Linked DNA regions of Schizosaccharomyces pombe. The protein of the gene in region 1 interacts with the protein of each later gene in a biochemical or structural test. Each region holds a gene or a part of one and is shown on either strand. Other genes may lie near its edges. The genes, in order: klp2 and nda3.

Evidence for each region.
Region 2: the proteins of klp2 (region 1) and nda3 form a complex in vitro, tested with the Schizosaccharomyces pombe proteins (one study listed by BioGRID).

What each region holds. Positions count from the first base shown.
Region 1 is NC_003424.3:1,719,900-1,725,524, forward strand, and holds klp2 (kinesin-14 family minus-end directed microtubule motor Klp2), read left to right. Parts: upstream 1-2,054; 5' UTR 2,055-2,095; coding exon 2,096-2,125; exon of another isoform or gene 2,126-2,170; coding exon 2,171-4,594; 3' UTR 4,595-5,003; downstream 5,004-5,625. Other genes in the region: gamma-glutamyltranspeptidase Ggt1, read left to right, coding at 1-1,489. UniProt on the Schizosaccharomyces pombe protein: Minus end-directed microtubule (MT) motor that is involved in spindle microtubule shortening, kinetochore capture, and polarization of cytoplasmic microtubules. During mitosis, promotes spindle microtubule shortening by depolymerization.
Region 2 is NC_003423.3:3,963,380-3,967,648, reverse strand, and holds nda3 (tubulin beta Nda3), read left to right. Parts: upstream 1-1,675; 5' UTR 1,676-1,724; coding exon 1,725-1,736; intron 1,737-1,772; coding exon 1,773-1,822; intron 1,823-1,873; coding exon 1,874-1,915; intron 1,916-1,956; coding exon 1,957-2,011; intron 2,012-2,100; coding exon 2,101-2,986; intron 2,987-3,071; coding exon 3,072-3,373; 3' UTR 3,374-3,557; downstream 3,558-4,269. Other genes in the region: GTPase Grn1, read left to right, coding at 1-949; protein Sdh8, read left to right, coding at 4,034-4,255. UniProt on the Schizosaccharomyces pombe protein: Tubulin is the major constituent of microtubules, a cylinder consisting of laterally associated linear protofilaments composed of alpha- and beta-tubulin heterodimers.

The DNA.
Region 1 (5,625 bases):
AGCTGTCAATTCATTTTCAAGTGGTATTGGCGGTGGTGGATTTATGTTAATACGCCATCCAAATGGTACAGCACATTCCTTGAACTTTCGCGAGACTGCTCCAGCGGGTGCCAGCAAAAATATGTTTCATGGTAACTCTACCCTGTCACAGGTAGGTGGTCTTTCCGTTGCCGTCCCTGGTGAAATTGCTGGCTACGAGCGTGCTTGGAAAATGTATGGCTCTCTACCTTGGCATAAGTTGTTTGAACCAACCATACGTCTTATGAGAGATGGAATGCCAATGCCCAAGGAACTTGCGTCTCGCATCAGACGACCCGAGTTTTCCTATTTCAAGACTCATCCAGATTGGTCTAAAATATTTGCTCCAGAAGGTGTTTTTTTACACGTTGGAGAAAAGTTTTATCGGCCTGCTCTAGCGTCTACCCTCGAAGAAATAGCTAAGTTTGGTCCTGAAGTGTTTTACACAGGAAAAATTGCAGAAAGGCTTGTAAAGTTTGTTCAACAGCAAGGAGGTATACTAACCATGGAGGATATGGCCAATTTTTCAGTTGTTGTGGAGGAACCTATTTATGGTAACTTCTATGATCGTGAGGTTATTACTTGTGGATCCCCTTGTAGTGGAGAGGCTTTGATTTTAGGTTTAAATGTTCTTTCAAAAGTAGATTTAAGTGAAGGTACTTCTATCCTTGGTTGTGAAATGACGGATATTGGCGTGCACCATCTAATTGAAACAATGAAATGGATGTCCGCTGGACGGACTGTATTAGCAGACCCAACTTTTTACAATAATACAGATCATGTTGAACAGTTACTTTCTTTGGAATATGCTGATGAAATTCGCAATAATATTTCTAACGAGAGGACTTTTGATTTTACTCACTACAAGGCCGAATACGATTTCCCTAACGATCACGGCACTACTCATCTTTCCGTTATCGACAAAGACAATATGGCAGTCGGACTCACAGCTTCTATCAATTTGATGTTTGGTTCACAACTTTTGGAACCTGAAACGGGTATTATACTGAATGATCACATGGACGATTTTGCTTCTCCAGGAATAGTGAATGCTTTCGGTTTGAGTCCATCGCCATACAACTTTATTGCCCCTGGTAAGCGACCACAAAGCTCCGCGGTGCCTACGATTTTGGTATATAATGGTGAAGTTGAAATGGTTCTTGGTGGTAGCGGTGGCAGCCGAATCGTGACAGCTGTGTTAGACACAATTATTAAAAAATATAAATGGGGCAAGTCATTGTTAGAATCTGTTGAGAGTCCTAGATTTCATCATCAGCTAATGCCTAATATCGTCTATATCGATGAAACTGTTGAAATTGAAGTTCTTAGAGCTTTAGAAAAGTTTGGTCATATAGTGGATTTAATCCCCGTTCAATATCCTTTCAGTGAAATTCAAGCTGTTTTCCGCACCAACGGCACATTGTACGGTTTAAGTGATAGCCGAAAACAGGCTGTTGCTGCTGCCTATTAAAATTTCACTAAATTATTAAAAAAAACTCCTTAGACGCTCACAAAATTTTCCTTTATTTGTTGTTATTAATTTATCAGGTTTATTAACTTATTCTCAATCTTTATGTGCTTTTTACTGATCTTTAGCTTGTGGCTGGGATGAGAGAAAAATATTATAAAGCATAAAACGTATGAATGATCACTGTCTACATATTTGTGCACATGATGGTGATGATTGGACCTTCGTTAGTTAGATAGATTACATTCTTTCCTAGATTTAGAAAGTTTTAGCAAAACGAAGAACAATTACATTTAACTTTCGAATTTATTCTAACCGTAACATAATATATCTTCATACTTTAAACGTAAAACAGTAAAATATTTCTTTCGATGTACGAATGGCAAATATTCCTTTACTAATTAAAAATACTTTACTGTGTTAATTAATACTAAATCATTAAATTGAATTAAAGATTCACATAATATCGGATATTTGCTTTTGACCTTCGTGGTCCATGGAATACCACCATACAAATTGTTGAATAGTGAACTTTTGATTTAAGCTTATGAAACTCAACTTCTCTAACACCTTACAATACCCACATGTTTTTGGGGAAAAGGAGAAAGTATGGAAGAAGAAGGACATAAAAGTTTAACTGTAAGAACAAATTTAAGTGTAATTTATTAATTTTTTTCCTTATAGTCGCATCTACCTCAGTCCTCGAGTTCTTTGTCGCAAAGTCGAGAAATTGCTAAAGAATTTACGTCTAATATACCTCCTCCGACTATTAAAACTAATTCATCTTCATCAAATATTCTGAAACCTCGGTTATCATTGCAAAATGAAGTTAACCAACTGAAACCTGCTAAATTTCCCAGTAAGATGTTACCACCAGGAAGCTTAGCCTCGGTTAAATCTTCTAGTCTTGCAAAAAAAGCCAGGCCTTTTACCGCGTCCTCTAATCCCAGGATGCCCAAGTCTGCACATCCCATTTCAAGTCGGTCAGTGTCTGCTTCTTCTCATTTTGGTAGACCTGCCAGTGCTGTTTCATCCAGTTTAAATAGTAGCGATGATGTGAGAAGTATGTCAGATGAAAGTATGGAATCTTATAATGATGAAAAGTCTGTTAATGCCAGCGCCTTAAGGACTACAGAAGACCGGTTGAGGAGTATGGAAATGGCTTATGCTCAATTATCGGCTAAAGTTATTCCTTCACCCTCAAAAAGACCAGCTAATTACAAATTTTACGAACAGAGAATTGCTATGCTTGAAGAATCATTAGAAGTCGAGAGGAGTCGTACATCGGAGTTACAAGAACAATTTTCAGTGGCTCTGAGAGAAAAAGCTGAGGCGGAGGCTAATAAAATCGTTTCTCAAAAGGGTATGGAGAGTTTGGAGATAATGTTAAACTCAATGAAAAGTGAAAATCATCAGCGCATGGCCATGTTGGAAGAGAACCATGCTCGGGTGATGGAGACAGCTGAGCTTCAGCATCAAGCAGAATTACAGGATTTTGCTTCCAATATTGAACAAAAAGCAAATAGTTTAATCATGGAGTACAAAAATGAATTGCAGTCTGCCGAAGAACACTTTTCACACAAGATTAAAGAGCTTACTTCAGAAAATGAACTCAAAATTTCCAGACTACAAGAGGAAAAGGATTCTTTATTAAAGAAAGTTCAGGAGGGCGCTTCGCTGGCTATGCAACGTGTCCAAAATAAGCATGATCTAGAAAAAAAAAGACTGCAATCTGCAATTCAACCGCTTCAGGAAGAAAATAATTCTTTGAAACAGCAGATTGAACAATTACAAAGAGAACTTGCTTCTGAAACAGTTGTTAAGGAAAATCTGAAATCTTCGTTGGACCAACAAAGTGCCAACGTTCAGAAGCTTGAATCTACAAATCGGGCTTTAGAAAGCACTATCAAAACACTTGAAGAAGATGTTTATACTATGAAAAATAAGATTATAGAACTAGAAGGCATTTTAAAATCTGCCAATGTTGAGAGAGACGGTTTAGTTGAGAAACTCATAGCTGAGGAAACTCTGAGAAGAAAACTCCATAATACCATTCAAGAACTTAAAGGTAACATACGCGTTTTTTGTCGAGTGCGACCTCCCCTTGGCGATGGAGAATCAGCACAAATAGCTTTTCCTGATCAAAATTCCGAAGCTAGTACTATAGAGATTGTTGCTCAAGCCCCAGGGTCTTCGTTAACAGGGAACGGGATAAAACAGTATGCCTTTAATTTCGATCGTGTATTTTCCCCTGAAACGACTAATGAGGATGTATTTAATGAACTGTCACAGTTAATTCAAAGTGCTATGGACGGATATAATGTTTGTATATTCGCTTACGGTCAAACAGGTTCAGGCAAGACGCATACGATGTCTTCAAATACAGGAATGATCCCTTCATCTGTAAGAATGATATACAATCGCTCTACTTCTTTGAAAGAACGAGGTTGGGAATATCGGATGGAAGGACAATTTCTAGAAATATACAATGAAACCATTATTGACCTTTTAGCCTCCGGAAATGAAGAAGAGAAGGGAAAGAAAAAACTGGAGATATATCATGACACGAAGGCCGGAAGGACGACTATTACCAATATAACCAGCGAACCGTTAGACACACCTGAGCAGGTAACCTGGTTGTTAGATCAAGCTTCGAAGAACCGTTCTGTTGCGGCTACCAATGCTAATGAACATTCCTCAAGATCGCATTCAGTTTTTATGCTACACTTGAATGGAAGCAATTCTACGACAGGTGAAACATGCAGAAGTACGCTTAATTTGATTGATCTGGCTGGATCCGAAAGACTTTCGAGTAGCCAAAGTGTGGGTGAACGTTTGAAGGAAACGCAGGCAATCAACAAAAGTTTAAGTTGTTTAGGAGATGTAATACATGCTTTGGGAAGTGGAAAGGAAGGAACGTACATTCCGTATCGAAATTCCAAGCTGACTAATTTGTTACAATATTCGTTGGGAGGAAATAGTAAAACTCTCATGTTTGTCAATATTTCCCCACTAAAACAGCATGTTCCCGAAACATTATGCAGTTTGAGATTTGCAACAAAGGTAAATAATACTCAAATTGGCACAGCACGCAAAGTCACAAAATGAACGGAAAGCACCAACAGGATGGCTTGAGGATTGTTGTTTATAAGGAGAGCTGTCTTTTCCGTTTTTGTAAAATATACAGATCTGTTTGCTCTCTTTTGTATACTTTGAAAATAATTTTTATGGGCCTATAAAGAACCACAAGTCAGAACTATTATCGTTTTAATGGACGTATACATACAAGTAAGCGTTCATTTCCAACTCACTCTTTTTTTTTATATATTCGAATACGCTCTTTAGGTTATATGTGTTCTTTCCTTTGAATGTTTTCAAATTTTACCATTATATTTTATGTTTTCTATAATAGTATTGAGCAAATATTTTCTTTTATGACTAGACCCTAATGACATTCCAACTTACTTAGTACGGTGGTTTATAATTCGCTCAAAATGAAGTCATATCTCATAAAGTATGTTCAAAAGTATAGTTAATCTTAGAAAGTAACTGACTACAAAAATTGTTCCAAGTGACTTTTGGATGAAGCAAAGGTGAGCAATTAAATTTCACAGATGAATTACATTTAGGAGAAAAGATCAAGTATCCAAAAATATAATATTACTAGCTATTTTTTTTTTCTCAAACTTGGCAGTTCCTTTAATTCTCTCTTGATAATAAAAATATTAGAAATTCTACTACCCACTGTATATTTTATTCCTTTCGGAATGTTCTTCAGATTGACCCAAGAAATATAGAATAAGCTAAAATTAACAGATTATACTTTATTTTCTTTAATAATTGTACTAATTTCGGTTTCTTAATTGCTACTTAATCCACTTAGTGGGATTATAGGAATTTCCATAAATTTTCCACTGCCAATCTTGAATACATTTCCTTTTTTTCTCTTTCATTTGAATGCTTCTATCCCTTTTCAGTAAATACTGAGGTGGCATTTTTCTATATCTTGCCAATAGTCCAATTCTTTTCCATTTGTTTATCAAATACTGAATTATAACGAGAGCAACATTAAGCATTTTTATCATGTAACCACAGGCTTCTTAAAACGGTTTAGTACCGTATTACTGCAAACCTTCTTC
Region 2 (4,269 bases), on another chromosome or scaffold:
GTTCAAAAAAGTTGTTGAAGCGTCAGATGTGATTCTTTACGTTCTTGACGCTCGTGATCCTGAAGGGACTCGTTCAAAAGACGTTGAACGTCAAGTTTTAGCATCTTCTGCTGAAGAAAAGCGTCTTATTTTCGTTATCAACAAAATTGACTTAGTACCATCAGAAGTACTCAACAAGTGGGTTACCTATCTCCGCAATTTCTTTCCTACGATTCCTATGCGTTCCGCTTCAGGATCTGGAAACTCAAATTTAAAGCACCAGTCGGCTTCTGCTAGTTCCACTATCTCCAATCTTCTTAAATCACTCAAGTCTTACTCAGCCAAGAAGAAGCTTAAAAGCTCTCTTACAGTCGGTGTAATTGGATACCCCAACGTTGGTAAATCATCTGTTATTAACGCTCTTGTCAACCGTTCTGCGAATGGTCGTTCTGCACCTTGTCCTGCCGGAAACGTTGCCGGAATGACTACTTCTTTGCGAGAGGTGAAGCTAGATAACAAATTACGTTTGGTCGATAGTCCTGGTATTGTTTTTCCTTCTAGTGATTCTAAAGACGATTTGTATCGTCTTGTAATGCTTAATGCTGTTTCATCCACCAAAGTTGATGATCCCGTTGCCGTTGCTTCTTACATTTTGCAATTCCTTAGCAGAGTTCCAGGACAATTGGAAAGAATGTTTCAAAGATATGAGCTTCCTCCTCTATTGAATACATCCGATATAGACACTGCTACTGATTTTTTAGTCAATATTGCTCGTAAGCGTGGTCGTCTAGGTCGCGGTGGAATTCCAAATCTTAACGCTGCTGCCAATATTGTCATTAATGACTGGCATGCTGGTCGTATCGAATGGTGGGCCGAGCCTGAGGTTATAAACGAAAAGAACTCATCTGAAGTTCAGGATACTCAAATCGTTACTGAGTGGGCCAAAGAATTTGACCTTAATGATTTTTGAGAGTTTTCAACTTACGAAAAAAGCTATTGTTGCTTAGAGCTTATATTTTGGGATTTGGTTTTCGGTTGCGGTTTTTCTTCGGGTTTTAAAAATCTTTAGGTGTTGATGGTTACTAGCTATTACTTTTTGAATTAATATATAAATAATTTTTTTTGCATATATGCCGTATTCTTGAATGTGTTGTTTTACATTTACTTGTAAAAGTAATGTTTGATATGGGAGAAGTTTTAAGTAATAGGTTCGCTAATACGGGAAATTATTAAATCAATGCATGCTGGCTTAAATAAAGTCAATTGAATATGTACGGAAAATGACATTGATACTAACGTGCAGTTATAAGTTTCATTTCATTTTTATATCAATTGATAGGATAAACACAAACAATTCTAACCATACTATTTTGCGCTACTACTGAATATGGCATAATATCAAATTAATCTGTTTAGCAGTTAATAATTATGTATATAAACTAAAGAATAAATAAAGTTACATACATTACCAAAGAAAAGAAAAAAAGCTTGTATATAAAAGAAGTAAACTATTTAATAAGCAATGATTTAAGACTTGATTCTTTTCAATTAACAATCGGCTAATAAATACACAAAAATTTTTTTTAAAAGCCTACTAGTAAATAACTGCAATAAACTGTGTTTTTAGAATTTCTGAAACGTATAAAAACGATTTGGTACTTTTGGTATTCTCAATCCGTTCCTCCTAACGAAACTCACCTACCACCAAACTGATCATCAAAACAAACCACCATAAATTAGTCTAGATGCGTGAGATTGTACGAGCTATTTTAATATTCAAAGCTAATCAATAGGTTCATATTCAAGCTGGTCAATGCGGAAACCAAGTCGGTGCGGCCTTTTGGTAAGCAAAATCTACTTTGTTATAACGTTTCTCTCAACTAACGCTTGGAAGGTCTACCATTGCTGATGAGCATGGTTTGGATTCAGCTGGAATGTAGGTCTATTTTGCTTGTTTTTTTACTGACTTTTACGTAGATATCATGGAACTTCTGAGGCACAACACGAGCGATTGAACGTTTATTTTAACGAGGTAGGTTTTTTTGCTTTCTTACAAGTGTTCGGTTGCTTAAAACTTTTTGAAAAAATTTTTTTTTGTTTATTTAGTACTGACGACTGTAGGCCGCTGGTGGAAAGTATGTTCCCCGCGCAGTCCTTGTTGATTTAGAGCCCGGTACTATGGATGCCGTGAAGTCAGGAAAGTTTGGAAATCTTTTCCGCCCGGACAATATTATTTATGGACAATCTGGTGCCGGAAATATTTGGGCTAAAGGCCATTACACTGAAGGTGCTGAATTGGCCGATGCTGTTTTGGACGTTGTTCGCCGTGAAGCTGAAGCATGTGATGCTTTACAAGGTTTCCAATTAACTCACTCTTTGGGTGGTGGTACTGGATCTGGTATGGGTACTCTTTTACTTTCGAAGATTCGCGAGGAATATCCGGACCGTATGATGGCTACCTTCTCCGTTGCTCCTGCTCCTAAAAGCTCTGATACCGTTGTGGAACCTTACAATGCTACTCTTTCTATGCATCAATTGGTAGAGAACTCTGACGAAACATTTTGCATTGATAATGAGGCTCTTTCTTCAATTTTCGCTAACACGTTGAAAATCAAGAGTCCTTCATACGATGACTTGAACCATCTTGTCTCTGCTGTAATGGCTGGTGTAACCACATCTTTCCGATTCCCTGGTGAATTGAACTCTGACTTGCGTAAATTAGCTGTTAATATGGTTCCCTTCCCTCGTTTACACTTTTTCATGGTAGGATTTGCTCCTCTTGCCGCCATCGGTTCAAGCTCATTTCAAGCTGTTTCTGTGCCCGAGCTTACTCAACAAATGTTTGATGCTAATAATATGATGGTCGCCGCTGATCCTCGCCATGGCCGTTACTTAACAGTTGCCGCTCTTTTCCGTGGTAAAGTCTCAATGAAAGAAGTCGACGAGCAAATTCGCTCTGTTCAAACTAAGAATTCAGCATATTTCGTTGAGTGGATTCCCGATAATGGTATGTTTACTTGGTTTAAAACGTCGTTTGTATATTTAGTTTATTTTTTCTACTTGTTTATGCTCATCTGCTAACCTCGAAATAGTCCTCAAAGCTGTTTGTTCCGTTCCTCCTAAGGATCTCAAGATGTCTGCAACTTTTATTGGTAACAGTACTTCTATCCAAGAAATTTTCCGTCGTTTGGGTGATCAGTTTTCTGCAATGTTTAGAAGAAAAGCCTTTTTGCATTGGTATACTGGTGAAGGCATGGACGAAATGGAGTTTACTGAGGCTGAATCTAATATGAATGACTTGGTTAGCGAATATCAACAATACCAGGAGGCTGGTATCGATGAGGGTGATGAAGATTATGAAATTGAAGAAGAGAAGGAGCCTCTCGAGTATTAAACCCTTATAACCCTTTTTATAATCCAAGTGTGCCATATATTTTCAAATAGTGTTTATCTACGTTCCTTTTTTCCTACATTCATTGAAATGCTTTATTTTACTCCGATGCATATGGATTCCAAGCATCGTCTGTGCTAAACGCTCTTTACTTTTTTTCATAGCTTTGAAATGCTCCTTACACTCTAAATATAGCTTTAGCCTGGCTACCAAGGTGGAAATGTACTATAAACACGAGTAAGTCTGTAAAGTACTTTTGTAAGTCCAAACCGTACGAATTAAAGCTATTTACTATTCCCTAATATATGCTTAGATATTTGACTATTACAAAGTAAATGTATAAAGCAAGTCTAATACTTAAGTGTCAATTCCCAAAAGTAGAACCAAAAGATGCAGTGAGATTTGTAAATTCAATAAACTATTAATTTAGTTAAATTATCACCTACTGCTACGTATCGTATTTATGTTGCGTTTTGTGAAAGTAAACTCGTTTGATATACCAGTACTTATAAACGTCCACCAGTATAACAATCCGCCACTTTCTAAATTCGCCTTTGTCAACGACGAGAAATATTGAGTGGCTTCGAAAAGCCGAAATTGAAATTTACTCATATAAAAGTATATTAGGAACTTTATTTACTACATTGCAATCGCACCAAAACAATGTTTAATCGTAATTTACGTGCTGTCATTCTTAAAAATTACAATAAAGCTTTAACAAGATGTTTGCATGATGCTGGAAACCTGAAAAGGCCTACACCTCCTCGCCTTCCAAAAGAGCAGCAAGAAGAATGGGATAGATTACAAAAAGAATCAAGTAAACGTCCTGTGGATGTTATGCGCCGTGAAAAACATAAAGATTTTGAGGGTGATGTTAATCCAAAGGTACATTATTAATT